2 linked regions of the Notamacropus eugenii genome follow. The protein of the gene in region 1 binds, or shares a complex with, the protein of each later gene. Links are inferred from orthologs where the notes say so. Each region holds a gene or a part of one and is shown on either strand. Other genes may lie near its edges. The genes, in order: PRKAA1 and PRKAG1.

What was found.
Region 2: the proteins of PRKAA1 (region 1) and PRKAG1 are in contact, whole or in part, in a crystal structure (PDB 6C9H), measured with the Homo sapiens proteins. The link is inferred for Notamacropus eugenii from reciprocal best matches to the Homo sapiens genes PRKAA1 and PRKAG1. Residues at the interface, in NP_006242.5 of Homo sapiens: Ser295, Ser296, Thr297, Met298, Ile299, Asp301, Glu302, Lys305, Arg342, Glu347, Ala348, Phe351, Tyr352, Leu353, Arg369, His371, Pro372, Glu373, Pro376, Phe377, Asn449, Val451, Thr452, Thr536, Pro537, Arg538, Gly540, Ser541, His542, Thr543; in NP_002724.1 of Homo sapiens: His36, Asp40, Leu41, Ile42, Pro43, Thr44, Ser45, Val50, Leu64, Val65, Gly68, Val69, Arg70, Trp75, Ser77, Lys78, Lys79, Gln80, Phe82, Pro158, Glu159, Ser160, Gly161, Asn162, Lys170, Arg171, Lys174, Phe175, Leu178, Phe179.

Annotation. Positions count from the first base shown.
Region 1 is NC_092875.1:419,369,864-419,385,523, reverse strand, and holds the start of PRKAA1 (5'-AMP-activated protein kinase catalytic subunit alpha-1), read right to left. Parts: upstream 7,637-15,660; 5' UTR 7,442-7,636; coding exon 7,315-7,441; intron 1-7,314. UniProt on the Homo sapiens protein: Catalytic subunit of AMP-activated protein kinase (AMPK), an energy sensor protein kinase that plays a key role in regulating cellular energy metabolism.
Region 2 is NC_092874.1:220,882,533-220,898,293, forward strand, and holds the start of PRKAG1 (5'-AMP-activated protein kinase subunit gamma-1), read right to left. Parts: upstream 8,575-15,761; 5' UTR 8,471-8,574; coding exon 8,462-8,470; intron 4,927-8,461; coding exon 4,878-4,926; intron 2,823-4,877; exon of another isoform or gene 2,658-2,822; intron 2,441-2,657; coding exon 2,072-2,440; intron 1,933-2,071; coding exon 1,874-1,932; intron 1,634-1,873; coding exon 1,588-1,633; intron 1,484-1,587; coding exon 1,429-1,483; intron 1,253-1,428; coding exon 1,126-1,252; intron 987-1,125; coding exon 821-986; intron 691-820; coding exon 653-690; exon of another isoform or gene 622-652; intron 368-621; coding exon 221-367; intron 65-220; coding exon 1-64. Other genes in the region: KMT2D (histone-lysine N-methyltransferase 2D), read right to left, coding at 11,528-11,620, 11,727-11,835, 11,935-12,008, 12,176-12,461, 13,995-14,125, 14,237-14,373, 15,002-15,761. UniProt on the Homo sapiens protein: AMP/ATP-binding subunit of AMP-activated protein kinase (AMPK), an energy sensor protein kinase that plays a key role in regulating cellular energy metabolism.

The sequences.
Region 1 (15,660 bases):
TTTTGGTACTGTCTTTTTTTTTTCAATCAATCAACATTAACTGTTTACTATACGCTAAGCACTGAAGATAAAGAGTTCAATAAAGTAATAAGAAAATTACTATATCTGTTTCTCCTTCCACTCATCTTTTTTCTTCCGTGTATTTTTCAAAAATGCTTTGTCAAACACTGGCCACATCTCAGAATGCTTGTCTCATTCTATGCCTGCCTAGACTGGAAACTGGTAAAGGCCTCTTACACAAAGTGGTGCTTGGGCTGAGTTTTAAAGGAAATCAGAAATTCTAAGGGATGGAATGTGGGAGAGCATTCCAGGAATGGGGAACAGAGAGTACAAGGCATGAAGATAGGAGGTGGAGTGGACTGTGCAAGGAACACTGGAAGGAGGGGAATAAAGAAAAGCGGAAAGGCAAGAAGAGTACAGGTTGTGAAAAGTATAAATACCAAACAAAGGACTTGATATCTGATACTTGAGGTAATAGGAAACCGCTGGAGTTTACAGGAAAGGGGTGTGACCTTAGTCAAACCTACACTTTAGGAAAATCACTTTGACAGATGCATGGAAAGCAGATTACATTGGTAAGAGACTTGAGGGAGGGAGATCAACTGGGGCAATAGTTGTGTGAATGATTTGGAAACAATGGAACACATATAAGAAATGTTATGAAACTAGAAATGACAAAAGTTATTAATGATAATAATGGTGAAAGGTACCATTTAAATAGTGTGTTATGATTTACAAAGAGATTTACACATTTGATCCTCATAACAACCCAGTGAAGTAGGTACTATTATTATTTCTGTTTCATAGATGAGGAAACTGAAGCGCCAGATCACACCTTTAATCACAGGCGTCCCTCAGAGTACTCTCCTGGGCTTTCTTCTCTTCTTCCTCTATACTATTTCACTTGGTGATCTCATCAGTTCCCATAGATTTAATTACCATCTCTATGCTAGTGACTCAAATCTACCCATCCTACTAAAAATTCTCTGCTGACCTCTAATCTCGTATCTCCAACTGTTTTCAGATATCTCAAACTGGATGTCCAAAAGACAACTTCAACTCAACATGTACAAAACAACTCATTATATTTCCCCCAACCCATTCCCCACTCTTACCTCCCCTATATTGTAGAAGACAAAACCATCCTCCCAGTCCCTTAGGCTCACAACCTAACAATCATATCCAATATGTTGCCAAGGCCTATCAATTTCACCTTTGCAACATCTCTTCCATATGCCCCCTTCTCTCTGACACTGCCACCACTATTGTAATAACCTACTGCTGGGTCTACCTCAAATTTCTCCCCACTCCAATTCATCTTCCAATAAGCTACCAAAGTGATTTTCCTAAGGTACAAGTCTGACCAAGTCAATCCCCCCATTCAATAAATCCCAGTGGCTCCCTACTGCCTCCAGATTCAAACACAAAATACAGTATTTAGAATTCAAAGCTGAAGCCCTTCATAACCTAGCCCCACTTCTGTCTTCCCAGTCTTCTTAGACCTGATTCCCCAACACATATTCTTTGATCCAAACACACTACCTCCTGGATGTTCCATGAACAAGACATTCTACCTCTTGGTTCTAGTCATTTCTCTGGCTGTCTCTCATGCCTGGAATACTCTTCCTCCTCCACTCTAGCTACTGATCTCCTTAGTTTCCTTCAAGTTCCAGCTAAAATCCCTTCATTTACTATGTCTTCCCCAACCCCTCTTAATTCTGGGGCCTTTCCTTTGTTAATTACTTCCTAATTTACCCTATACGTAGCTTGCTTTTTGGATGTGTTTTGTGCATGTTGTCTCCTCCATTGGATCATAAGCTCCTGGAGGGCAAGAACTCTTTTGCCTCTTTCTGTATACCAGCACTGAGTACAGTGCCTAGCACTTAGCAAGCACTTAATATAAATATGGACTTACTGAAGCACAAAGAAATTAAGTGACTTACCCAGTCACAAAGCTAGTGTCTGAGGTAAGATTTGAACTCAAGTGTTCTTGACTTTGAGACCCATGGTCTATCTATCCACTGTGCCATGTGGATGACTATTTTGACAACTGACTGGATGTCCAAAGTGTCCCAAAAGTATCAGAGCAGTTTTAAGCTTTTATAACTTTAAAATTATACTAAGACTTTTGGGACATGCTGCATAAGGTGAGTGAGGATGACTAGAGAATGACGGAGAAGGTGCAAACTTAGCTGAGTGAAAAGAATGCAACTCTGGACAATAGCATATGTTCAAAAGATGGGGCAATTTGAGAGGAAAGTTAGTGAGTTCTGTTTTAGAACTCATTAAATCCAAAGTTCTAAATGGTAAGTTTGAGATATCTACAGGACAATCAGTTTGAGAGGTCCAACAGACAGCTGAAGATAAGGAACAAAAGCTCAGCGGGGCTGGGTATGTAGATAGAGGAGCCATTTGCATCAAGATATTAAACCCACAAGAGCTGAAGTGACTAAGAAAAATTGTAAAGGTTCTTAATCTGGCATCTGTGACCTTTTTAAAACAATTTTTTATAACTTTTTCAATATAATTGTTTCCTCTGTAATTCTGTGGATATTATGTTATGCATTTCTGAGAAGTCTATAGGCTTTATCAGACAACCTAAGAGGTCCATGAAACAAAAAAGGATTAAGAAGCCTTGGTGGAGGACTACAGACAGTGTCTTATGAGTACACCTACAGTTAGGAGGCACAGCATGGATGATGAACCAGCAAGAAGGACTGAGAAGGCAAGACAGACAAGCAGGAGACAAACAAAAGGAAGAGAACATAATCAGGAGGAAAGGGTGGTCAGTACCATTAAATACTGCAGAGAAGTCAAGAATTAAGAAAAGACTATTAGATTTGGCAGTTAGGAGATGAATGGTAACTTTTAAAAGAGAATGAGAAGAAAAAACAGTCAAGATAAAGTACAAAATGTTTTCTGCTGTGGAAGGGAGGAATTATAGGATGATAGCTTGAAGCAATGATGGGATTTTTTTTAAGGCTGGGAAAGATTTTTAAGGTAGAGAAAAAGTCAATAGAAAGGAAAAGATTGAAAGAAAAGAGAAGGAATGATTATGGAAGCAATATGCAGGAAAAGATGAAAGGGAATGGGATCAAGGATATATGCAGAAGACTGAGAAAAGACACCAGAGGCATCTCTTCCTTTGTTGTTGGCGTGTTAACTCTCATCCTGTGTTTCTTCTCAACACTATTCTTTTCTTTCTGGGTCTGAGGGATGGGAAACCAGGTATTGGAGAACTGTATCCAACAAGAAAACGAGGCTCAGAGTACAGGCCTGAGTGCCTCTCCTATGGCAGGCACACTAGATTTCAAGTTAGAATTGCAAATTAAGAGTTCAAATCCTAGCTCTAGTGAGATTATTTATTTGCTACATTTGTGACAGGGCAAGTCAGTTAACTGGGCTTCTGCATCTTCACCTGCAAAACATGAGACTAGTACAACCAAGAAAAAATGATTGTTGCAAAATTACAAAGAATAAGAAGGTCCCAAAGGAAGAGAGAGGAGAAAGCATTCCCCACCACTCTGCAGAGCTACAAGGTAGATATGGCAAATATTTTCATTGCATAAATTTTCAAATATTTTCAATTCACTAATCACTTTTTCTGATTTTTTTCCCATTTCTTCCTCTTTTTTCCTTAAAATATTCTGTGTTATATGGAATGGCTCTCCGGGAGGGGGGAGGATTAGAGAGACCAGGGGAAATGTAAGCAATGTAAAAACAAAATATATAAATAAAAAATTTTCAGTGAAGGAGTTGGACAAGATGACCTCTGAGGTCCTTTCCAGCTTTAACTAGTCACCTGGATTTAGAGTTGGAAGAGTTCTTATAAAGGCCACCAGGTGGCTCTGTGGGGAATAGAACACCCAGGGGCCTGGAGTGACAAAGGCCTGAATTCAAATCCTCCACCTCAGTCACTTACCAGCTGTGTGACTCTGGGCAAGTCACATAACTTTTGTCTGCCTCAGTTTTATCTCAACTGTAAAGGGGAGATAAAAAGAACACCTACACAGCAAGGTCGCAGTGAAGGAGAAAATATCCGTAAGGCACTTAGCGGTGTCTGGCACATAGTACGTGCATAATATATGTTTGTTTTCTTCTTTATAGGTCATCTAGTACTCAATTTACAGATAAGGAAACTGAGATCCAGGGAAGTTAACTGATTTTCCAAACTCACATAGCTTTTAAGTCAAGATTCAAATACAGTGTTTCTGACTATAAGTTCAGTGCTATTTTCAAGTCAGAACAAGTTTCTATAAAAATTGAGCTCAAGATTCTTCTGTCATCTATAACACACTAACAGCTCCCTAAGTGGCTCCATCCTCAGTCACCTGGGTACTTAAGAAAAATTTTTATCTGAAATTTGCATCACTAAGTACTCCTCTCTTCATTCAATACTTGATAATCTTACTCCAAAAGCTCCCAAGAGCTTTACTTATGACAATGCTCAGCTGGAATATTCAGCTTGGAGTCCAAACCAGAAAGACAAAAACATATGTTTACTCACAGCCACAGACAATTCTGTTGCGGTTCTCTGCAAGTCATAATGGCAAAGGTCCTGACACTCAAATTTTCCTACTTCCAAAGCTGCAAAACTGTCAGCTGAATAACCAGTAAGACCAAGTTATCTGTATCTCTTCCACAAGTAACTTTGTCTAAATGCATTGGAACATTGTAACAAATGCTTTTCCTTAGACCAGATGGATGATCTTGATTTTATAAAAGATTAAAATCTGATGGAATGTGATTCTAAATGGAATAAATGTCAGGTAAAATAGTTTCTAGGCACCAAATCAAGGCAATTTTTGTCAAGCACCTGTGCTGAAAATGTGTCTCCCCTCCATTTTCCCATGCTTCTACTTACATTGACAATAGAGTGGTGACCCAATTATGCTCAAGCTGGGAGAGGGGAAGAAGTACTTTAAAACAAGAACCAGTACATATAATTTTTTAAACAAAACATCTAAAATTTTTACTATGTCAATCCATTTTGACCTAAAAGAAACTAGTTTTATTTGGAAACATCTACTGTCTCAGGTAAAACATCATTAACTTGGAATTTAAATTTTAACAATTAAAAATACAGGAAATTCACATCTCACACACACAAAATTAAAAGACTATCTCTTACTGGTATTGATGGCTGAGCAATCAAGAACAAAAAGAGCCATTATAATTTTAAGGAACAACAGATTCAAAACTGTGGTATGGGAGGCAAAGTGCTCTGACCTTGGTATCTGAAAAGATCTGTGATTGTGTCAGGGCTCAGTGACTCACTACTAACATACTACCCTTGACCTGGAATAAGGTCCATAACATCCCAAGCCTCAGTGTTTTTTCACCTATAAAATAGGAACAATACTTGCACTACCTACCTCAGATAGTTGATGTAAGGATCCAACAACAAAAAAGTACTTTGTGCAAACTGTGAAGTTTTATATAAAGGAAACAAGATTAAAATGTTTTTTCCAGTGGTTCTATCTGTATAAAAAATAAAATCATCCAGACAGCTAAAGGTGGAAAAAAAAGTTTTGAGTAAAGTTAACACTCCATTCACTTAACACCTACCAACTATGTGCAAGAAGACCTCTTCCACTAACAATGATGTTCTACCCTGCCAATCATAACAAAAAGATCTCACTGAATTCACAACAAATTGTTGCTTGAGCAATTCATTTATTCTGCCTTCCAATCTCTGTTTTCAAATCTTAAATGAATATGACTATGTTTGAAATCTTTGGGTGGGGAGGCAGGGTGGTGTCTCTACAATGACAAAATGAAAAATCATGTTTCTGTTAGGTAAATGATCTTAGTGTTAATTCAAGAAGAATTTCAGGTGAAATAATCAAGGATAGTTTAACATCTTTTTAGGATGCTAACAAGTATTTTTAAGAGTACTAATAAACAACACATAAGCTCTAATTGATAGCAGAGCCACAATTCAGTCAGGATCACACAAATCTAAGCCTAAAAGAGACCCACCCTAATAACTATCATTAACCCATTCTGTCATTTTGCTTAAGTTTCTTACATTTATTCAACTTATTGTAGCCCTTGCTGATTTTCACAAGTACTGTTAGGCAGTTTCTCCCTGTGAGCTACACAGCAACTTTCCACTTCTATGACTCAGAAAGGGGCAAGAGAAAGGAGGGTTCTCCTCTCCCCTCCCAAGATAAAATCAGACAATGTTTATTTAGCTCTAGAAGAGCAAGACTTATTTATTTATTTCATCATCCAAACTTTTAAATACTTTTCAAATCAAAACAGTAAATACTGAGCATTTATGTACCAGGTAGGTTGCACCCATAAAACTATTGTAACAGAAAAATTATAGGAAAGGGAAATAAGCTTCCTATCACTATTTATCATAAAAGCCATCCTTATTTCTTCTATTACTCTACCCAGTGGCCAATATCAAATGTTTAAACAGCACCTATTTTGCAATGTTTCAGCATTTGGTGAAAAACAGGAGACGGAAAGTTCCTTGATACTTCATTTCATAAACATGGTGTTGAAATAGGACTGGCAGAGAGAACTCCGGTACAGTTTTTCTTCCAATTCTTTGAAAAAAATATACTTCGCTTCTCAAAAAGTGAATGACACCATGTATGGTAAATGCTGTCATTAGTACCTACAATAAACTAAAAACCTTATTTGGGGTAAGCACGCCAAATAGCTAACAGCTTCGGCAGACACGGAATACAGGACACTTGCTGACTGTCCAAAAACAGTTGAAGGCACAGAATACAGGCAGAACACAGACCTGGCAATACATCATAATAGAAGGAGCGGTTCCAAGACCCCTGAAGAAGGGGTGCTCCAGCTAGACCAGGTGACTTGGTCTACACAGCACCCCCAAAGCTTAACAGGCTGGGGTTCGTGTCACCTGGATTAATTCATTGGCTCGGCGACAGCCAAGAACATTCGCCTCGTCAAGAGGACGGAAATAGTGCCGGGCACGGAGGAGATCTGGGGAGAAGCAGCGGGGACCGGGGGGCCCCCCACCTCCCTGGGGCTCGCTCTGCCTGAAGCCACGGCACGGGACTCGGACCTCCGGCCAGGCGCCCAGCATCTGGCCTCGCCGCCCGGGGCGGACCAGGTCCGAGCCCCGCCGCGCGGCCAGGACGACCCGGGTGGGCACCGGGGGTTCTCCCGGGCTGCCCCCCGGACGCCGCACCAGACTTCCCGGGTCCCGGCGCGCGAGGGAGAGGGGGGGAGGGGGAAAGTGGAGGGATGGAGATGCGAGGAAACGGGGGGTGGGGGGGAGTCCCCCAGCTCCGCGGCAGCGGGACAGCCCGGCCCCAGGGCTCTCACCCTTCACTTTGCCGAAGGTGCCGACCCCCAGCGTGTCCCCCAGGATGTAGTGGCCAATCTTCACCCGCCCGTCGTGTTTCTGCTTCTCCGCGGCCGCCATCTTCCTCCAGGAACTGAGCCTGCGCATGGCGCCCTAGGGGGGGAGGGGGAGGGAGGAGAGGAAGGAAGAGGGCGGGGACAGAGAGGGAAGGGAAGGAGAGGGAGGAGGGGAGACTGGAGAGGCAGAGGGGGGGAAGGGGAGGAGGAGGGGGCCCCCCGAGAGGCAGAGCTGGGAGGGGCCCAGGGTGGGTCACCTCCGCCCAGGAGCCGGCTGTCGCGGCCCGCGCCCCCGCCGGTCCCCTCCTCCTCCTGCGCCGCGCCGCCGCCGTCTGGCCCCAACCACTCTCCGTGGCGGGGGCGGCCGGAGGGGACTGAGTCCGAGGTGCTGGATGGAGCCGTCCCCGGGCCCCGCCACCCCCTCCGTAGCTCCGGCGGCGCCCCCTCTCGCGCCCGGGGAGGACGCCCCGGGCTGTCCCCCCTGCCCGCTGGGGCCGGAGCGCTGGCTGCCAGCCCAGGCGGGCGCTGTCCGAGCGTGGGCAGCCGGCCGCCCGGCGCGTGGCTCTGCTCGAGTCTGCTCTGCAGATGTTTGGGCATAGGCTGGAAACTGCAGCGAGCGGAGACGGGGGAGGGGGGCTGGGCAGGGGTTCCGACTCCAGCCCCCCGTCCGCCCGCCCTGCGCCCCCAGCCTTTGCTTTCCTTCTCCACCGGAGATCTAGAAGTGGCGGGGACCCTGCCTTGGCAAAGCCCGTGAAGGGGCTCCTTGCCCATCCTTAGTCACCCACCAGAATCGCCGCTAACGTCTTAGCCGACCCCTTGAGCCTCTTTCGTATCCCTGGAAAAGTCTAATCTTGTTGCAAACAACTCCAACGTGGCCGACCCAAGGAATTTGAAGTTCTTAAGATTTTGTTGGATAGAATTTTGATTTGCCGTTTATTTAATTTAATATGTATTAAGCCATGTGGTGATGATATACGATCTGTGAAAAATGCAAAGATCCCTGCCCTCACAATGATACAGGGCATACATGAATGACCAGGGGAAAATTCTAAGTCAATATTCGAACTTCTTCATTTTCAATAGAGACTGCATATAAATGCTTGAAGGAATCCAAAGCAATGAAAAGGGGATAATTGTTGCTGTTCAAAGATGGGGGAGCTAAGGGTGTGTGTGTCGCATATCACATAGTTCGTGGGATTTAGCTAAACTTAAAACAACCCGGAAGTATCAATAAGCTATCAAAGATGTAAAAAGATGTGACTGTGGGAAGTCAGGTACTATGAATTGATTGAAACATTCTGAAAAACAATTTGGGGCTACGCAAGAAAAATTCATATTCTTCAATACCCAGAAGAATCCCCTACTGAGACTATTATTCCAAGCAGGTTATTGACTGAAAAATCAAAACAAAGACCCCGCAACTCTATATGTACAAGAATGTTCGTAAGTCGGCCAAACGTTTATTAAGTGGCTGCTGTGAGTCAGATACTTTGCTAAGCACTGAGCATACAAAAAAAAAAAAAAGTGGGGGGAAATCCCTTCTTTCAAGGAACTCAGTCTAATGAGGGAAACAGCATTCGAACAACTACATACTAACAAGTTATAGACAAGATCTATTGTACATGATCAGCGGAGGGAAAGTACTAGATTAAGGGGGATGGGGAAAAGTTTTCCGTTCAAGGTAGGGTATTAGCTGAGACTTAAAAGAAGGAAGGAGCAAGGGACAGGAGAGAGAAAGCATTGTAAGCATGGAGTGGGGGGCAAGGGGGACGAGGTAGAGCCAGTGAAAATGCCCAGAACGGGGAGATAGAGTATCTCATTTGGAAAAGAGCAAGGAAGCTAGGGTCTCTGAATTCCAGAGTATCAAGGGGGTGGAGGTGGGGAAGGAATGATTATAAGAACTAGAATGGACAGGAGAGGCAGGGAACCACAGATTAAAAAGGGCTTTGGATCTGAGGATTTTATATTTATGCTTGGAAGTCATAAAGAGCCACTGAAGTTCATTGAGTGGGGGAGTGGAGGGGAGTGACATGGTCAGAATTATGCTTTAGGAAGATCACTTTGACAGCTGAGTGGAGGATGGGCTGAAGTGGAGAGAGATGTGTAACAGGCAGAACAGTAGTCCAGTCATGAGGAACTGAGGACTAGGTTGGTGGCCGTGTCAAAAGAGAGAAGTGGGTGGATTTGAGAAATATTATGAAGACTGAGGTAACGGTTCTTGGCAATAGTATTGGATTGGGGCAGGGAGGGAATTGGGGATGGAGAGAGAGTTGAGGAGTCCAGGATGACACTTAGGTTGAGAACCTGGGTGACAGGGATAATGGTGGTACTCTTCACAGTAAGAGGGAAGTTGGAGGGGAGGACTTGAAGCGAGCTTTAATGAGTTTAGTGTTGGATATGTTAAGTTTAAGATGTCTATGGAATATTCAGAATGTTCAGGGGACATGGAGATGCAGACTGGGGGTCAGTAGAGAGATTAGGACTGGATAAGTAGATATGAGGATCATCAGCAGAAAGATGGGGTCCATGGGAGATGCTGAAATAGCCAAGGTAAATAGTATAGAGGAAAAATAAAAGAGGGTCCCCAGATGGAGCCCTGTGATACACCTGTAGTTCATGTGTGTTACCTGAATGAAACAAAAGAGACTGAGAAGGAGTAGTCTGGCAAAAGAAGAACTAGGAGAGAGTAATGTCCCAAAAGAAGAAAAGAAGGTGATTAAATGTCAAGGCTGCAGAGAGGTTCAGAAGAATGAGGACTGAGAAAAGGCCATTAGATTTGGCATTGAAGAGATTGTTGGAGAGAGCACTTTTGTTTGAAAGATAAAATTGGAAGGAAGCAACACTGTAGGAATGTAAGAGTAAGCATAAAGGCAGTGGAGGCATCTATTGTGTAGATAACCTTCTCAAGGAGTTCAGCTGCCAAAAGAAGGGGAATTATAAGATAATAGTGACTAGGGATGGATGGAGTTTTTTGAGGATGGGGAAGACTCAGTAGGGAAGCAGCCAGTAGAGAGATTGAAGATAAGTGAGTGGAACAAACCTGAAGAAAGGAGAATGGAATAGATCATTTTTGCATATAGAGAAGTTAGCCTTTGCAAGGAGAAGGGCAATCTCATGTGAGAGAATAAAAGAGGAGATAGGGACAGAAGACATCTGGGCAATGTTTAATGAGGAGGGGAGAAGAAGAAGATCTCAAAGATTTTTTTTTTTTTTTAGTAAAATATGAGACAAGGTTCTTAGGTAAGAGAATGGGAGGAGGGAAAAGAAGAGAAATAAAAAAAAGTTTGGAAGACTTGCTAGGGTGAGGGGGATAGTGAGTTAATTAGGGAGATATAAAAGGATTGCTTTGCAACAGTGAGGGCCCAGTTGAGGTTCTATAACAAATTTGTAGTGAATTGCACTATAGATGTCAGCACTGATTTTCTTGAGAAGCATGTATATAGGAACAAAAGCAGCAAATGTTGGGAGACTGAGGTTTGGGGCATGGTAACTCAAAAGGATGGTGTAGAGTTCACCAAGGGATCACTATAGGGAAATAAGAAGAGGTCTATAAATAAAAACATGCAGAGTTTAAAAATAAAAATAAAACTGGACAAGTACAACAGATAATGTTAGTACCATACAGTCAGAATTAAAAGATATATCCTTTTTGTCAACAATTGATAACTTTTTCAGTGAAAGTATTTCATTAAGAGGTCTGTTTGGGTAAACGTGTTAAAACATATCAAAATTTTAAAAATTAAGTGATTAAATGAATTTGACCTGTTCTCTTTTCTCCCTAGATTTTTTTTAAAAAGCCTTACCTACTTCTATGAGTTTCTACAGCTCTAACCCTGTTCTTCCTGGAAAAGACATTACTTCCTGCTTCTCATTTGAGAAGATAGAAAATATGCCACTTTTCTTTCAAATAACCTCTTAAATTTTCTTTCATGATTAGAGTTGTCAGGTTTTTCTTTTTCTTTTATAAAACCTCAAGATACCAACTTAGCTTGTATTTTCTAATGGCCACTGGGAATTGTGTGAAAACAAAGAACAAAAATTAAGTTACATTATACACACACACATACACACACACACACATACGTGCACACACAGTTAACACAATTACAAGCACTAGTCTTTGCTACCTACACTCACTGAAAATAGTTTAGAATATGAAACTTTGAAAAGAAAAGTAGATGGAAATCTTGCTTTCCTCTTATTATAATCTGAGCCTGGATTATTGCAGTTACTAGTGATGTGACTTTGGACAACTCAGTTAATCTAAGAAACCTTGGTTTCTTATCTGCTAAATGGGGATAATAATAATAAATGTCATAACTATCTTAAAGGATTGTTGAAAACATGACTAATACGGAAATATGTTTTTCATGATTGCACATGTATAACTTATATCAAATTTCTCACTCTCAGGGAGGAAGGAGGGCAGTAAGGGAGAGAGAATTTAGAGCTCATTTTTCTTTCAAATGAATGTTAGAAGTTGTTTTTACATGTAATTGGGAAATATTTTTTAAAAGGATTGTTGTGACACAAATAAAATATGTAAAGTACTTTGCAAACTTTGAAGTACTATAACTGTGTTAGTTATTCTAAATCTCCTATAATCCTTGCCCTTAAGAATCATATAATCTTTTAAAGGAGATATAACCTAAAATTATAGAAATTAGATCGTTTAGTCCAACAAAATGGAAGGGCTTTCATCTGTTCTATAGGATCCATGGCAGGGGCTCATTGAACTTCTGCTTACAGCTCAAATACTTCCAGTGAAGGTCACTATCCCATTACTCAGTCTGTTGTTGGACAGCTCTAATTGCAGCATTGGAAGCTCATTCTTGATTTGCAACTGAAACCTACATGCTTACAATTACTACTCTCTTGGATTCTGTGGCATAATCTTCTTCTGCATGATAATCTTTTAACTCTCTTATGACAACCTACACTCTGCCACTTGAATGAGGCAGTAGATATAACCATACAATACTTTTGTCAGTCAATCAATATATGTACCAGGCACTATATTAAATGCTGAGGATAAAAAATAGACAGGACATTCCCTACCCTCAAAGAGCTTATAATCTAATGGAGAAAGCAACAAGCAAAAAAAAACAAAAAAACAAAAAACCTGTACAAAAATTTTATATAGGGTAAATATGAAATAATTAAAGGAGGGGAGGGACTAGAATTAAGAGGAGTTAGGAAAAGCTTCCTATGGAAGACAGGATTTTAGTGTGTGTGTTCGTCCTTCATTGCTGAAGAAGACCATGCCATCAGAGAAATAATGACATAACTTGCACTTGACTTTGTTGTGAGTAAGGGAGGTCTGTGCAGGTCACCAGCCTCACTTCTCTTCCAGAGCCATCTGAATCCAGAGACCAGATATTTATCAGGATGACTGGAGATGACCCAGGATGAGGCAGAGTTGGGGTTAAGTGACTTGCCCAAGGTCACACAGCTAGTGAGCGTCAAGTGTCTGAGGTGAAATTTGAATTAAAGTCCTCCTGATGCCTGCATGGGTGCTCTATCCACTGCACCACCTAGCTACTCCAAGGTCTTAAAGGAAGCCAAAGAAACTAATAGATAGAGACGAGGAGGGAGAGCATTCCAAACATGGGGGACATAATACTTTAATGTACTCATACTTATGTATGTATATATTTATATATATACATATATACATATATGTAAGTAAAAGTACTTATATACTTTTAATACTCAGCTGAGGCTGTACTGGTATCAGGTAATCCCTGTTTCCTATTGTTTTTCCCACAGAAATAGCTTCAACCATGTCCTCTTTAGTCACCAACTCCCACACTCCAACAAATGAATTCCATCTTTGAGACAGCTGGAGCCATCTAATGGGAAATTCTTCACTTCACCTCTTCCAGTTCTCAAAATTATCAGCATTATCACCCAATCTTTTCTCTGTTTTGCTCATTGAATCTTTACTTGCATCTATGATAACGTTCCCTCTCATTTCCTCTAGAATTTTGATGAACAAACAGATAGACTAAATGAAAAAGCATTTAAATTCTTTCTATAGTCCAGACATCTTCCACATTCTCATGCATCTTCATTTTATCCCTCTCCACTGGCCCCTTCCAGTTTGCCTAGAACATACTAAGGTCTGCCCATTCCTAAAAGAGGAATATTAAATTCCTTTGATCCTTCTGCTTTCATCCAGTTACTATCCCATTTCTCTTCTTTTTACTGTCAAACTTCTTTTTAAATGTCTACATACAATGCCTCCATTTTCTCACCAGTCTACTGAAATTGTTTCCTCAGAAATCCCCAACAACCCACAAATTCAGTGTCCCTTTTTAAGTCTCAATGCTCTCTGACCTTTCTACATTTTTCTTCCTTCCAGATACCATCTCTTCTTTTTGGCTTAAAAACACCAGATTCTCTTCATACTTTTCTATTACATTTTCTTGACACTGCTTTATATTGATTCTCCTCTTGCCTGTATAAATATTGCTTCCAACCTCTTTTGCTGGATCACCATCCTACTCCTTCCCATTAAGTATGAATAGCCCTCAAAGCTCAATCCACGATGAGTACTCTCCAGAGAAAGTATTCTCTCTCTTTGCCCTTTCTCTCTCATCAGCTTTAGTGAATAAAATTATCCTCTCTTTGGAGATAACTCCCAAATCTATATGTCCAGCTTTTTCCTCTCTCCTGAACTACAATCTTACACAGCCAAATGCCTGTTGGTCATCTCCATTAGGCATCTCAAACTCAGCATTTCCAAAATAAAACTCCTACACTCCCACAAAAAAAAACCCCTCATCCTCCATACTTTCCTGTTTCTCTTGGGAGTACCATCATCCTTCTAGTATCCAGGTTTATAATATTAGAGCCATCTACTACTCTTTCCCCCTCCATAATCCTCATATCAAATCAGTTGCCAGGGATACTGGAAGTTTCACAAACATCACAGGCCTTCTCCTGACTCTTTGCCTTTGCAGACTGTCTTTCTGTCTCTTGAAAGTACTTCCACCTCAGTTCCAATTCTTAGAATCCCTAACTTCATCAGAGGCTTAGGTCCATGTAAAGATAGATTGGAGCCTGAGAGTGGTAAGCTTTAAATGCAGGGATGAAGATTTTGTATTTTTATGCTAGAGCAAAGGTTCTTAACTTTTTTTCTACCATGAATCCCTTTGCCAGTCTGTTGAAGCCTATAGATTCTTCAGAATAAGTTTTAAATTCATGAAATAAAAGACATAGGATTATAAAGAAAACCATATTAAAACAGAGCTATCTATCTTTGTATGTGTTTTTTTTAAATGTTTATAGACCCCAGGTTAAGAACCCCTGTCCTAAAGGTTAACAACAGGGAGCCTACCACTCTAGTTATAGTAGGTCTAGTGCAATAGGCTTTTAACGGCTATCTACTCTCTCTCTCTCTCTCTCTCTCTCTCTCTCTCTCTCTCTCTCTCTCTCTCTCTCTCTCTCTCTCTCTCTCTTCTCCAATCCATCCTTCATACTGCTGGTAGCTTAGTCTTTATGCTTAGACCTGGTTATAATACTTCTCTACTAAAAACAAAAAACCTCAGTGGTCCCTGTTCTCAACTGAGTAGAACTCAAATTGCTTCATTTAGCATCCAATGTTTTCCAAAATCTAGCACTATATAATTTTACAGTCTTTGCCCTCTTTCACATGTTCTCCAGTTTAATCAGACTGAAGTACTCACTATTAAACTATACTATCCCTACAAAAGGTTTTAATATTCCCCTTGCCTGTCTTCTCCTCTCTTGTAATGACTATGGTGTTCCTCATCACCACCACATAATCATCACACTCTGTTTTTTCAGTACAAAAACTGGTTTATAACCTTTCATCACCTAATCATCACATGGTATAATTCTGTTTTCACACCACTTAAAAGGTAAACAGAGCAGCAATGTATTCACCAGTGGTATATGGATACTCATTTACTTTTTGGGCATGGAGAGCCACAAGCCTAAAATTCTCAGTGCACATGCATCGTCAGTATATTTCTGAAAGCTGACTTGCATGGTTTGTTTAGAGATCTGCAACACTAACAGTACTGTCACTCAACTCAATGAAGAGCCATAGGCTCAGGTGCAAAGTGAGCAGGCCAGCAGGTGAAGCTGCCAGGAGTAAGTCATATGATATGATAAGACTTGCATCTTCCCAATTGTAATGTATATTCATGAGTATTGCGTGCATCCTAATCTTTTCACCAAGGATAGTTTAGTAATAAGTTATTTTTAAATAATACCAGCACACTATTTTAAAAAAGCTTTGCATAATGGTCACACCCCACTTTTTTGCAAAGAAATTTGGCA
Region 2 (15,761 bases), on another chromosome or scaffold:
TATCAGAGAGTGACACGATGCCTTTTACCACATTGTTCTCTTCAACAACCACCAGCCGATGAACCTGGCATAGGATGGCAAGAGAGAAAGGAAGGGAGCTTTTAGGCCAAACTCAATCAAGTAGTTTTCATTGTTCCCTTCACTATTTACAAGCCTCTCTCTTCAATCCAACAATCACAGCTTTCCCACACTCCCAAGTCTTTCGCTTCTCTTTCCCCACCTCAGCTTCCACCAGTCTGTTAATGATGGTCTCCAGAGTTTCATGCTGGTAGCACTTGAGTACACCCTCAAAATAGTGGGATCGATGCTGCAGTGCTTTTGTCACAGATATGTCCAAGTTGTTATAGGTCTTTTCTGCTGCCAAGTTCTGGGAAAATGAGGACAAAGAGCCCCAAAAGCATGGTTTCTAATTCCCAAAACCCAATTCCATCCCACTCCATCCCCCAAGAAATGCAGAACTCAGGTGAACTGGTCATCTCTCAGTCCACACTTAGCCAGTAAGGGAGTCAGTTCTTTTCTCCCATCAGATATGGAGACCAGTGTCACGGAAGCCCTTGAACCCACAAAGAATTCCCTCCTTTTCCTTCCCACATTTCCCAATCCCTCCTTCCTTTTCCCTACCACCTGAAGTGGTCCTTCTGAAGTCACTCACAATGACATCAAACTTGGAATAGATGTCCACCACACGCCCTGTGAAAATAGGGGCATCTTAACCGGAAGGGCTTGGAATTCAGCAATGGAACCCCCATCACTGCCCACAGAACACCTCTGGGGACACAGATTTCCCCTCCCCTTCTTCTCTCCCTCCTCAATTCCTTACCTTTCTCATCTACCACTGGCAAGGCAGAGACCCGGTGCTGAACAAAGATGCCCAATGCAACATAGACAGGTGTGGTGGTACGAACCAGAGCAATGTTGGCATAAGTGCCTATCTGGAGCTCCTCCAGAGACTTAGACATGAAGTCCGGTTTGGGAAACTCTGCAATCTGGTAGACAGATCAATTAACTAGACTACCAGGTCCTCCAAACAGCCCTCAGCCACCAACTCCCTAACCCAGCCCAGGGAGGCTTGAGGGCAGTATATGTGATGATGGGAAGTCAGAGAGGAAGAGAAATAGCACTTACAAAAAGCTTGAGGAACTTGAGGATGCGTTTGTGGGTGAGGATATACAGAGTGTTGCCAGAATCAGGATCAATGACTGGCAGTCTATGGATCTTATTTCGGATCAGTGAGGAAACAGCATCAAAAAGGCTGTGGAATGACGGGGTAATGATTAGCTCCAGTTGTAGGTTATAGAGGATTTGGGGACAGTGAGCAAAGTCAGACTATCCCAAGGCATGTATGTATGGGGTCATCACTCCCACCACCCTTCCCAGGTTCCTTTTGATGATGACTTTTCCATTCTGAAAAAGCAGATGGCAGCTCACCTGGCATTAGGAGAGATGCAGACAAGAGGTTTAAAGGAGTCCTGAAGGTACACCTCTGAGAGGAGAAGAGATGATTTACACACAAAATGCCACCAAAGAAAACAGCTTCCCAAGAAAATGTTCCAACCCTTTGTCTCCCTGTGACTCCCTACTACGAACCTCTCCAGGTTTCTATCTTATGTTCTTCCAGCTCATAAATCTGTACCTGGAATAGAGGTAACAGGGTTCGGGCTTTTATCACTCTATTCCAATAGACCCCCAACAGACTGTTCCCTGGGAAGTGGAGCAGGGGGCAAGAACTGTGCGCACTATGGAGGAAAGCAGACCCGAGGATGCAAAGAAGACACTGTCAGAAATCAGTGGCAGGGCTTGGAGGTGGGACCCAAAGAGGAAATCAATGGTTCCTGACTATGGCATCAGAATCAACGGGTTATGGGTTTCTCACCAAGGCTGACTTGTAGTAACGGTGTAAAATATTGATGAAGTCAGTGATGGTCAGCATGCCTGGAAGCCAAATGAATACTTAGGAATCGTACTGTCTTCCCCTTAGAACACCCTCAGATGAGGGAATCCCAAATGCCACCCTCAACTTCCCATCATGCCTACCATGATGATATCATCCATCCTCCGGACCCCTACTTACCCACAAAGCTCTGTTTCTTGCTGTCCCATAATGGGGCTGCCCGAACTCCATTTGTGACAAGGGCAAAGAAAGCTTTCTTTACCTGCAAGGAGGGGATGAGTAATAGAGAAGGAAGGGTCACTAGGAGAGAAATTGAGGGAGGAGGAGGATAAGAAGCATAAGGGGAAAGAAGGGTAAGAGTAGCCCTACAAATGGCTTTGGATGGGATATATAAAGCAGAGGCCTCAGGGAAAGGGTAGAGGATAAAAGCTTCACTCACCTGCAGGGAGGTATCAAACACAACCAGTTTGGAACTTGTGGGGATCAGATCATAGCATCGATGGGATTTCATGAAGCAGGTATAGACAGCGCTGTTGGACTCTGGGGTCTCTGCATAGCATGAGGGGATTAGTGTTCTCCATTCTGCTGTGTGAGCCCTGCTCCCCCTTCCCCCACCTCTCTGTCAGAGGGCTATAGCTTCCCAAATGGAGAGGTCGCTCTCCACGACACCCTCCCATTCCATCCTGCCTCATTCTTCTTCCTCCCACCAAACCTAGACAAGGATTTTTTGAATCCATCTAATTCTCAGTTTCCCAAGGCTAGAGACCATTTCATCTTTCAGCAGGGCTATGTCAATTCCTGTCAGGTAGAGAATGTTCTACTCAGAGTTCTCCAAAGGATAATCTCTTAGAAGTCTATTCTTGTCTGGAAGGTTCTTCTCTGAGCTAAGTTTTTTCACCATAACTTCTGTTCATTCTCTCTTGCTCTTCTCCTGGAATAGAATAAGAGTCTTGTGATGCTTCAGAGAGCTTTTGATAGGAATGAATGGTTGCCTTATCCAAGCCATTCCAATTCAATACCATGTTGGTGTGTGTTAGTAAAACACCATGTTGGATGGGACTTCCTGCTTCCTGTATTTCCCTCCAGCAGTCTAAGGTTCTGAGGATGGGTCTAGGGTGAGGTCAGGCTGGGTGTAGGATCCTGAAAGTCTTATTGATGGGTAAGAAAAATCCACAAATAGTCTGTACCACTAATAAGGCCTTGAGAGAGAGGGCAAGTTCAGAATCCAGTGAAAACTGAGACTATCTCCATATCCTTTGTCAAACTAGGGAAATATCCATAGCCTGCACTGTCCTACCTCATCCTGTGCCCAACATGGATTTTTTTTTTTAATATAAAGAAGAGAGCTATCTCTATCCTTTATCCTCAGCCATTATTCCAAATCCCATAGAGCCTCTAGAGTCTCTGAGGCTAGTATAAAAGTCTGTCTGGGAAGTCCACAGCAGCTTCAAGGAGTTCCAGAAATGGTGAAGGGGGGCATATTTAGGTCCTCCTAACTGGCTTCCTTGCTTTCCACTCTTCGCACTGCTGCCCCAATAATCTTCCTAATGTCAATAATCTTTTCAATAGCTTTCAATGGCTGCCCACTACTTAATGAATTAAAAGCTCCTTACCCTGGCACCCAAGAGTCTCCATAACCTTCCAACTTCCAACCTACCTTTCTAGTCCTACTTCATACTATTCATTTTCTTATACCCTACTTTCAGAACAGACAAGGGTAGCTTTTATCCCCACTTCTCATCCTTCCCTCACTCCTCTCCAAACTTGTACTGTTCTCCTGTTTAGTTAATTTTCCACTCTACCTCCTAATGCTGAAAGTCTCCTCCTTCCCTTAAAACTCAACTTAGATACCAGTTCCTTCAGGAATTATTCCCTTTTCCCAACCAAATCAAAATGATCTTCCCTAAAATTTCACATGCTACTTTTCCTGGATCACTCCTTCGTTATCATAGTTATTTGTGTACATGTGTTTCCTTCTACCCCCTTAAATTATACGTTTTATAGAGGTTGTGTGGCATAGTGGATATAAGATTGTCCTGGAAGCTAGGAAGCCCTGGGATCAAATCTACCTCTATTGCATACCGGCTATGTGACCCCAAGCAAATCCCTTAATCCGTCAGTACTCTAGGCAATTTTTTAAGACTAGAAGTTTCAGAGAAGGTACTGATTGGATTGGTAAATGAAGCTTCTTCAGCTGAAGGAGATTCCCTATACCAATGAAATCACAGGTCAAGTCCTGATTCCTCTCTCTATCCATCAGGGAAGGTCTACGTCATCTCTTTGGAATCTTAATGTCCTACGGCAATAGAAATCTTTTTTTAAAATAAATGGAAGATTATTTCATTATTTTGGGGTGAGGTTCGAAAGCCTGTCACACAGTATAGAGAAGCAACTGTAAAGGCAATTCAGGGTTCTTTCATAATGGCTCAAAACTGACAGGAGTTTGGGAACACTGTAGGACTGCTAAACCCTGTGTCTTGGATTTTATTACTATATCCCTAATCCATTCTATTCCTGACTTGAAATGCTGGGAAAATGTAGAAGTCTTCAAAGCCATCCCAGATGTGAGGGTACACACTCAGATGCTGGGTGACAAAAGACTGGTGGTTCCTGGCTCTGGGGTCTTTAATAAGTAACAGGGACTTCTATAATGTGGTCTTCTAGCCTATAGCTCTCCCACTGACAACAGTTCAGAATCTCCCACTGAAAAAAAATCCTACTCTAATTATCTAAATCACTTATGACAATCTTAATAAGCACCCCTATAACACCAAACTTATTCCTGTTGTTCCCTATATAAGCTCTTGATTCTAATTCTTATAAAGCGGCCTAATATCTCTGGTTTTTGGCTCAGCCCTGATATCCCCAGCATGTACAATGGGAGAGAAACAAAACCTGCTGAAACTGAAGACCAATTATAGACTGGTCACTGGTTTTCACAGAAGTACCCATCCTTCTTGGAGTATATCATGATGAAATATATTACCTTCCAGAGCTGGGGTGCATTTTTCCATACCACTCTCTGGAATAGTGACCTGGAAGGACAAACAAAGGAACTAAGCCTAACTTAGGATCTACTAACCTCATTATGTTTCTCATGGCTCTTGAATCTACCCCTCCCCCAACAATAAGGAAGGCAGCATAAAAGAAACAATGCTTTAAAACTGACACCAGTGATTCCTGGCCTAGGCTAAGCTACAAAAGCTTTTGAAAACGTAGCCCAAAATGTGGGCCCACACCTGACTCCCAAAGAATCTGCTATGGGGGTCAAAAACAGGATAGTGGGATATCAATGCCTTCCCCAAGTACTATCTTGAGCATAAGGACCATGCCACTTGGTCCCTAATCACAAAGACAGGGAGAAACTGGCAGCCAGTCAGTCATCACCACTTGAATGTCTGAAGGATAAACATGAAACATGTTCTGTAGCTAAGAAGTTTTTTCGAAATTCCAACCCAATACCTTTTGTCAATTCAGTGGATCAGTCAACAAGTATTTATTAAGCTCTGACTACATGCCAGGCACTTCTCTAAGTACTGGAGACAAAAAGAAAGGTAAAAAATAAACAGTTCCTGGTCCCCAGGAGTTTAGTCTAATGGAGAAACAAGGGAAGAGAATAAACATTTATTAAACACCTTTTTCTATGTGCCAGGCCCTGAGTTAAAGCACTTTACAAATATTATCTTATTTAAGCTTCACAACATGCAAAAACTTATGTACAAATAAGATATATACAAGACAAACAGGGGATAGTCTCAGAGGGAAGGCACTAAGATTACGGAGGACTTCTTGCAGAAGGTGGGCCTTTGAGATCTGAAGAAAGCCAGAGAAGCCAGGAGGTAAACATAAGGAAGGAGACTGTGCCAGGCATGGAAGACAGCTGGTGAAAATGCTCAGAGTCGTTAGATGGAGTGTCTTATTTGAGATCTCAGCATGTGGAGGATAGTAAGAAAACTTTGAAGGCAGGAATGGGCCAGGTTATGAAGGGCTTCAAAAGCCAAAGAGAAAATTTTATATCTGATCTGGGAGAAAATATGGAGCTAAAGGAGTTTACAATGGGAAGAATGATATGGTCAGACCTGCACTTTAGCATCACTTGATGAGCCAGAGCCTTCCAAAGCCAAGAGAAACACTAACTGCCTCTACTTCCTGGTCCTAGGGACATAGAGAGGGTAAAGGGGCAGTTCCTGCCTCCTTCCCTAGCTCAGAGTAACCAAAACTTGGGTAAATCTGTATACTTCCTGGAAATGTCAATGTTACCCAAAAGGAGTTATGCTGATTTCTATCTGTACTAGTAGCTGCAATTCAACATATTCAGAAAATGGTTCCAAAAACTGCATTTTTGCCCCACAAGTTTTTGCAAAAATGTAAGGCTAAAAGATCTGGAGTCTTTCTGCTGGCTAGTGAACAAAGGTCAAAGGCAAGCTGAAAGGACAGCTTCCCACCCCCAAAGGAAGCAAGAACCGAATTCCATTGCTGCTGTCTGCTGCGTGTGACATTTTGGCAATGCCACTGGAACAAATCTAGTCACCTGCATGTGAAGGTTACTGAGCAATGCAGATACATACATGTATACAGGAGACACAGACAAGATCACACAACATACAAAAACCAAAGACTGGATAACATAAAGAGAGACCAAGAAATGGAGCAGTTGTCCACTTTGGCATTTATATACTACCTTGTATTGTGATAATTTTTTCATATACAAATATCTTGTCTCCCAAACCAGAATGTAACCTCCAGGAAAGCAGTAATCTCAGTACCCTAGGCACACAGCTGGTACTCAATAAATATTTGTTGTTGAACTTCCACTAAACTTCCCATTATGATGCCTCATTATATATTATGGAGGTAACCTGCAGTTTTGTATTAGATACTATATTACAATGACAAGTCCTATACCAAGCCAGAATGGTTCAGACTTCAGGCTCAGTGATTAGCCTACCTAAATTCAGAGAGACTCATCACCAAAAGGATGGTTACCAAGTGATGATTTTTTTTGACACAGAAACTTATATATCTATCCAAGCTGTAGAAAAGCTTCATTTCTTTATTGGTGGAAAGAATATTTATATGGATGGAATCACAGATTATTTGAATTACTGCAAAACATTATGATGGTGATGTACTGGAAGACGTAGATGGTCAGAGTGCTGCACTAAGACAGAAAGATAGACAAGCACAGAATAGATACAAACATACATATGGCTAAGTAACCTTATCTTTATGAATCCACTTGTATTATCTGCTCCTCAAAAATTTCTGCTCCCACCTACCTCCCAGAGATGGTTATAGAATGAACTGAGATAGTAGGTTATTTATGAATGTGCCTGGAAACAAAGTTGCTATGTAAACCATAAGGGAGCAATAGAGGGGCACAGATGATTTGACACAAATAAGACATTTGGACTGGAAAACTGGATTTGTAGAAACACAAATGTACACAATCTATACAAATGTATAGACCTGGTCACATGTATATTCAGAGACATACCTAGACAGACACTTAGAAAGATAATTACAGCTAAGTTTGTGTAGCACTTGAAAGTTTGCAAAGAGCTTTACATATTATTTGATACAAAAAGTCACTAATAGGATACAAAGAGTCACTTAAAAGAACATAATTAGAAACATTAAATAGCTCTTAAGTACCTACAATGTGCAAAGCCCTGTAACTAACTTAAAAGAAGTTCCCAGGGTGGGGGAAGAGGCCAGTGGACGGTTATTCAATAGCCACGGTTCTTCCCAGGATGTTTTCTAAGGACATTTTTCCCATGCTGGTCGGATCCTTCTTAGCTACTTCCTTAAACTGCAGGGTTGGACTCTTTCAGGCCGTACATAACTTATCCTGAGTTTTACTCAGTGATCAGAATGAGGACAATTTAGCTCTTAGTATTCCAGCTCTTTGCTGTTTTCATCACAGTCCTTAGTTTGCATGCCCCATGTCACTGAATCTCAGACTCTTAAAACTGGAAGAGGTTTTGTAGACCGTTGGGTCCAAATGCGCCTAGAGAGATGAAGTACCTCGCCCGAGATCAGTTCATCGACGGCAGAGCTGTTATTTGAACCCAGCCCTCCTGCCTCCCAGTCCAGTCAAGAGCACTTTCCCAAATTTACAAGGTTGACGTCGTCCCTATGTCATTTTTTGGAGGTCCCACTTTTACCCTTTGCAAAGGAAGAAAACCCGTTTTTTGTTGTTGTTGTTTTAAAGAGAGGGGTAACAGCTAACGTGAAATGGGTGGGGCGACCCCTGGAAGGAGGACTACGGCCATGGGAACGCTCCGCAGGGACGGGCTGGCACAAGCGGCCCGCGCCCCAGGCTCCCTAGCGCCCGGAAGGGCCCGGGGCCCAGGCACCGGAGGGACGCCCGCCCTCCGCCGAGCAGCTTCCTAAGGCGAGACCTCGGCGTCAGGGCAGCCCCGGGCTCCGGGACGGACAGCCCAGACAGGAGGTCCGGGGTCCCCGCCCCCTCCCTCCCTTCCTCAGCCCGGCAGCGGGGAGCCGGCTGGCCCCGGCCGGGAGGCGCCCGCCGCCAGGCCCTCCGGCTGGCAGCCCTCTCCCTCTCACCGTCTCCATCCCGCTCCGCGCCAGCGGCTTTCGTGCCCTCCGGGCCGCTTCTTTCCGGATCCGCCCCTTTCGTCACTTCCGGCACCGCCACCCTACTTCCTCCCGCGTGACCTAAAGACGCGCGGCCTCCGCCCTTCCGGTAGCGACCAGTCGCCTGCGAGCGGCCGAAGGGGCGTTGCCTTTCCCCCTCCCTTCCCGGCCTTGGCCGGCCCCGGGCCGCTGGCGGCGGCGCTACCGAGCGACTCCAGGCGACTTGTATTTAAAATGCTTTTTTTATTTGTCCTTTAAAAACAAACTTGGAAGAAGCAAAATCCCAAACTTGCCCTTTGCCTCTCACAACATAAATTATGTACAGTTCATAATGATCGCCGATACAAAACATGCCACGGACGGGGGCTCGGGGCGGGAGGGCGCGGCCTAGAAGGGGTCATTTCATCCGTTGTTACGAAGGACAAACCTGGCTGTACAGCATACACAACACAAAGTCAAGTCTCCACGGGATTCACACTGGTCAGCGGTTTTTATCCAAGGGAGGCCGAGGGAGGGAGGGGGAGGAGAGTCCTGGAGATGAAGGGGAAACTGAAAATGGAGGGTGTGCGTGTAAACCAACCCAAAACACGAACGCGGGGTGGGGGCGGGGCGCTTCCGATGCGTTGTACAAGCGGGGAACTAAGAACAACAGAAAACCAAAGTTCCAACCTTGCAGCCTGGGTCTGCGTGATAGTTTGTATCAAAATTAAAAACTGTATAAGGTTCTTCACTAAGATCTACAGGACTACCAGATACCTAGCATACCTTACAAAGTCTGCCCCCAGCCCAGACCCTGCGCTGGGCTCCGCTCCGGCCCGAGGGCCTTCTGCTCTCGGAGAGGAAGAGGTCCGGCGGCTGGGGTCGTGCGGGCGGGGTGGGGTGGGGGGAGGGCGCTAGAGAAGCCCAGTCTTGCTCCTGGTTTACTTACAGCAGCTTCTCTTTGCTCCCTGTGGAGCTGGGGGCGGGGGTGGGGGGGGTGGGGGGGGTTAGGAGTTCTTTTAAACCTTTGCATCTTTAAACAAGTTGCGGAAGCAGCTTTGTCTTTTTCCCTAAAAACAAAAAAATCTTCAGCCTCCTCCCCACCCCTGCCACCCCATTCTGTCTCAAATTAAAACACAAAACAAAAACTTCAAAAGAAAAAAAACAACTAAAAACACAACAGCGACTAGGCTCCCTGCTCCAGCCCTCTCCACTGGCATCACCTTCATCCTCATGCTCCAGATTTCTGATGCTTTAAAATAATTACAAAACGCCCTTTGCCCACAGCCCCTAGAAGAGAGAACTGAATAAAAACTTCATCTGCAAATCTACGGCTCCCTACCAGAGAGGGGCCTAGGGGTTACTTCAACACCCCCCCCACTCCAGGAAGAGGTTCAATCACCTGCAGCACAAGTTAGGGAGGGAGATAGGAGAAAAAGGAGGGAGGGGACCCGTCACCCTCTGGCTCCCTTAGGGGCCAGATCACTTTTGTGCGTTATAAAAGTCCAACTGTACATCTGGGAGTGGGGAAACTGAGCCCAGCCCCTGTCCCCTCCCCTCACCTTTACAGCAGTCACAGCCAGGGGATGGGGGGGGGTGAGAAGCAGGGCAGCAGGTCTGGGATAATGGAGGGCAGCTCCCCCACAAGGGGAGCTCCAGGTGTCCCTCCCCTCGCCCCCTACCATTTATAAACTGGTTTTGTAAAAAGAAAATAGATATATTTATATAGAATATATAAAGCACAAAAATTAGTAGTTTTACATTTGCTCTCCCCAGGGGGTGGGGGGGAGAGGGGAGGGTTCTCACCTCCTGCTGGCCCCCCCATGCCCCACATGACTATATACAATCCGGCTTATAAATAGATAAATACCCCCCCACCCTCCCCACGATGACACTAAGCTCCCCTACCCCCAACACCTCCCTTTCCCACCAGACCAGCAGCAGTTTGGTGGCTGGGGAAGTAGGGAGCTCTGGGCCCCAACCTGCCCCACGGGGAATGGGTACACAACTCAAGAGAATCTCTTTCCCCTCCAAATCCAGGGAGAGGCTGAGGGAGGCACTGGGCTCATGATGGGGTTGGGAGTACAAGAGGAGGACACCCTGGTTCTGAAACACAACCCCAATACCTCTCCCTTCCAACCTGTTCAGAGGGGGAGAGATGCCCAGCCTCTGAGGGGATCGAGGGGTCACCCTCTCTCAATCGCTTCCCATCAGCCCTAGTCACTACCCCATGCCCACAGTTAAAAACAGATTTTTTTTCTAAAGGTTTTCCTTTTTACCCCCCCCTCCCTGCTACCCCCAGTTCAGACAAGGGGTTGAGGGATCAGAGGGCTGGGGAGAGGGTCTCACATTTCAAAACAGCAAAAAATCCAACACTTAAATGAGGTAGGTGTGGGTGCAGGATCTCCTTGCCCGGCTTGCCTGCCTTGCCCGCCCCACCCGGGCAGCTGGGTGCCTCTTTCCCGTTCGTGTTGCATTTGTCAGAGAGAAAACAAGGAAACACAACCCAGAAAGAGAGAGATGGAAAGAGGGACAGAGAGAGACATAGAGGAGAAGAGGGAGACAGAGAGAAAGGGAAGATGGGGGTTGGGAAGTAGGGACAGGACCCAGCGGGCAGGGCCAGGTGTGGGGACCCAGCCTTTGGGATTGTCAAGCTTAATCAAGTCTCTTTGCAGCCTTGAGTTGGGCTGGGGACGTCAGTGGGAGCACTGGGGCTGGGAGACCCAAGCTGCCACCCTCCTCACCGTCTCTGCTGCCTCCTAGACGGTGCTGGGTAGTTCCCAGCCCATATCTACCCAACCCCCCCACCCCCCGAACCTGAGATGCCCAATGGCTGTTTCTGTCTGTCGGCTCCTGGAGCTGGGGGCAGATGTGCCAGCCTGGGGCCTGTGGTGGGGGAGGGAAGTCATCCCTGGTGCCCAGAAAGGGCCCTGAGCCCCGTCCTGCTCCTAGGGCTCTGGTCAGCCAGCAGCCCCAGCTCTGGGTCCTGGCTCTCTTCCCCTTCAACCCTTCTGGGAAGGGCTCTGGAGGGTCTCCCCTGCCCAGCTGCCTCTGAGCTTAGTTCATCCACTTTCGGCAGTTCCAGGCTCCACAGTGGCAGGGGATTTTGTGCTGGTCATCCTCAAAGTCAAACTGATAGTCATAGGTCAGCTGGGGAGGGAAGGGAGAAAGGATCAAGTCCAGTCAGGCTTAGGGAAAAAAAAAACATACAAAGGAAATCACTGCCAATCACATCATTCCTAAGACTTCCTCTCACCTCTTCTCCTTTGGGGATGCGCCGGCTGGAGATGATAATGATCTTATCCTCCTTATCAAAGGTCACAACCTCTGCTACACAATTAGGGGCACATGAATGGTTAATGTACCTGAACCGGAAAAGACCAGGGAGTGGTCAGTGTCAGGGGAACAATTCAGGTTAGGGCCAGTTCTACCCTGACATGCCCCTCCCTCCCTCTCCATCTTACCTGGCTGGCCCTCCAGTAAGTGTGGCATCAATCACATGCTCATTGTTGATACGAAACATATAGATACCTCGATTCTGTAAAGAGGAAGGGAACAGGAGAAACAGATTCAAACAGATTCAGGCTTTCCAGCTTTCCACAAATATCTCTCGTTTTCCCTTGAAGACTCAAGTTTGCCCGCCATAGCCCCATCGTCCTGAATCCCCGGAACATTCTACACACAGCTCCTCTCCTTGGCCCTAACCTGCTCCTCATAGATCTTCTCACGACGGTTGGCCACCTCATTTCGAATGATGGTGCCAATGTACTCAATGACCATTGTGTGCTTCTCCAAGTCCTTGGCAGCATACAGCCCCAGGCCCTGAATACGGGATCGAGCCAGGTACACGTTGTTCTTCCACTCGGTGCGGAGCCGGCGGTACTGTGATGATTTGGAGTGCACAAACTGTTTGCTGTACGGCGTGTTGGTCTCGCCCGTGAAGGTGCTCTGGTATGCCTTGGACATGCTGGTGCTGTTGAGGGTGTGAGGCCTGGGGACAGCAGGAAAAATGGCAAGTCAGATCTAGTAGACACACAATGATGTGTACCCAACCCCCAACTCTGGGATGTGGCAAATGTCAGCCAGGCCTCAGGACATGTGCTACGGGCATATGGGAAATATAGCCTGGGCAAATAGAGGCAGAACCTGAATTTACTATAAGGGTCTCCATCTTGGTGGGGCAGCAGTTAAAATCCATATGGCCCTCTGTTCAGAAAACCTGAGATAGGTCTAGGAATCAAATAAGCGAAACTTCTCCCATTCCCTGATGTGTGGATACATTCACCCTCTCATGACTAGCCTAACACAGATGCTCTTCCCTCGACCACCCCAAGGACAGGGAACAGTCTATGTCTTGTCATTCCAGTCACTGGACTATCCCTTGGAGCTCTACTCCGAGGGCATATTCAGAATTCTGTTCCTTTACCACATTAGAACAATTCTTGAGAACTAAAGTTGTTTACACTTTTCCCCCTTGAAACAAAAACTACAAACTTTTCCCAAACAGGGATGATATCTCTCTTCCCTTGCCTCTGCACCAACTATTCAATTCAGGAAAATAATTCAGTAAACCTGTTTGACTCCATTTCCCTCCCCCACTGCCCCCTACCCTTCGTCCCTACTCCCCACTCCACCTTCTCCCTCCACAACTACCTAGGCTGTATTCCTGCCCTTCATCTCTGCACACCAGAGATCAAGTCCAGGACTCTTTGCTTGGGGCTTGGTCACATACAGTGACAGAACTCCTTTAAAATCGTTTCTGTCTTCCTGTACCCCAGCTGGTGAGCTAGGGTCCACTAATGGCATAGTGGGAAAAGCACTGAACAAGTCAAGAAACCAGGGCTCTAGCTCTGGCTCCATCTTTGACTTGCTGTGTGACCTTGGGCATGTCAATTAACTTCCTTGGGCCTCAGTTTTCTCATCTGAAAAAAAGGGGGGTAATACCACCTGCCCTACCTACCTCATAAGGATGTTGTGAGGATCAAATGAGATAATGGATGTGAAAGCGCTTTGGAAAAAAAAGTATAAAATGCTATACAAATGTGAGGTTTTAATGTTCTTTCAATTATTATTCCTGGGGCCACCTCAGGTGGACATTAGCACTCCAGGGTACATCTAAAGGCTCCCTTTTAGGCTCAAGGTGGAGGGAGTCAGAGCCCTTTAGAGAGGGGAAAGGGAAAAAACTATTAGCTCCCTCATCCATCACATCAATAAATACCTGCCTACTGCATACCTCCCCAGTTAACACATTTCCACCCTCCACCCCCATTAGTTAGGCAGGAAAGACAAGCTTTAGAGGGGGCCCTGGCTCCAGCCTCCTCTATTCAATATGTCTGAGTGATTCCTCAACGTTTCCAAAGGAAAAGATGTCTCCATTTTCACCCCATCTGTGTTGTGTTCCGCCCCCCTGCCCCCAATTATCCCAAGGTCTCCAATCCTCCACCCTGTTTTCTGCCCATTCCCTTCACTTCAGATCCCTCCCAAACCCAGCTCGACCACAGACTCCCTCAACAAGTAGGCTCACCGTTTGTAGTGAGTAAGGATTTTGGGCTCAGAGCGGGCACAGCCAGTAGGGTTGATCATAAGTGGTAGTTCCATCAGTGGGTGCCGTCCATATCGAAACAAATAGTTGTGACAGCTTTCCACTCCAGGCAGCTGTGGACACAGTGAGCAATCTACCACAGCCCAGGCCCCTGGGAGCAGGGGTACCCCAATTAGCCTACCCCAGAATCCCCTGCAGCCCACCCTGCCCTCCTCCCACCTTACCGACTCTGCAATTCGTAGGACAGCATGTACTGTCAACCCAAAGAGCTCCTCGCCCTTAAGATACTCCGGGAATAACCGAAGCATGTCGGCTTCCTTGCGCATGGCAGCCACTGGTTCAATGATACGGTTCCACACAGCTGAGGGGAAATCAAATGACCATCAAAAGACTTATTTCCCCCCATATCTGGGCTTTACCCAGATACAAGAGTTATTTTTTATCTGTGGCTCCCATGACCTATGCCAGGGGTGGGAAACCTTTGGCCTCAAGGCCACATGTAACCCCAAGGCTGCAGGTTCTCCACTCCTGACCTATGCCTTGACTCCTTCCCTCTAAAACAGGAATGGCACCCCTGTGGGTCAGACCCTCTGCTCTAAAGACAGTGAGGAATATAAAGTAGGAATATCAAAAAAATTATCTCTTACCCCGCTCCCTCCACCCCTAAATATAGTCAATACTAGTCAGAGCTTCATTTAATACCCTAAGTAAGAGAAAATAACGATGAGTTAGGATCAGATTAAGGGAAGCTTGGACCTAATCTGTGGGGACATGGAAGTAACTCTTTTCACCTCAAATGAGAAAAGAAAAAAAAAAAGAACAGCAGAAAAGATTAAGGTTGAACAACAAAAAACTCTGCCCAGTCTAATGGATGCTAGGCCACAGAAGTTAAAGACTAAACACCAAAGACCTCTGTGAATTACAGCTGGGAAGGAGTTTGTCCTACCCACCCACACAGTACATGGTTCCCTAACTCCCTAGAGCCTCACCCTGGGGGGATGCATCAGTGAAAACCAGGTCTTCCAAGCCCTGTTCCATGACTTTGACAATAAACTCAGGCCGCCCGTTGTTTTCGATGATGGAACAGCGATAGCAGCAGCGCCGATTGTTGGTACGTAAGCTCCAATAGATGCGCGTGGCCTCGTAGCCAACTGGGTAGAGGGCTGTGGCACTGTGGAAGTCGGCCATCTGGTGGGGCAGGAGCTGCCCAATGGCATGGAACACTAGCCCTCCCACCCGGAACATGTGTAGCCGCTCACCACGCTGGATGATACTAGCAATCTGCTTCACCTCATCCCGCTCAATGTAGACACGGCGAAAGACAGCAAAGGAGCTCAGCTCCTGCTCACAGGGCCCCTTAAGCTTGTGCAATGGGCATAGCATCGTTTTATCCTTGAAGAACATGCACTTGGCCCGGATGGCACAGGCAAAGTGGTAGACACTAGGACATCGCAGTCGGTTACAGCTGTTAGTGGCTCCGGTACGCTGGCACAGCGAACACTTGGTCAGCAGCCCTCGGTGGAGGGCGCCCTCGACATTCATCAATGCCCCACCCTGAGTTTCATAGACCTCCGTGGACCACAGGGCACAGTTAAGGTGGACCCATAGGTCCAGATCCAGGTTAAGGAGGCGGGCAGGCCCATCAGTAGCTCCATCACCTTCTTCATGGCAGAAGCAGCAGCGCCGAAGGTCACGGGGCACCTTGTCAGGCCGGAGGGCTGTGCCCAGCTGCTCCATGAACTCAGCCAC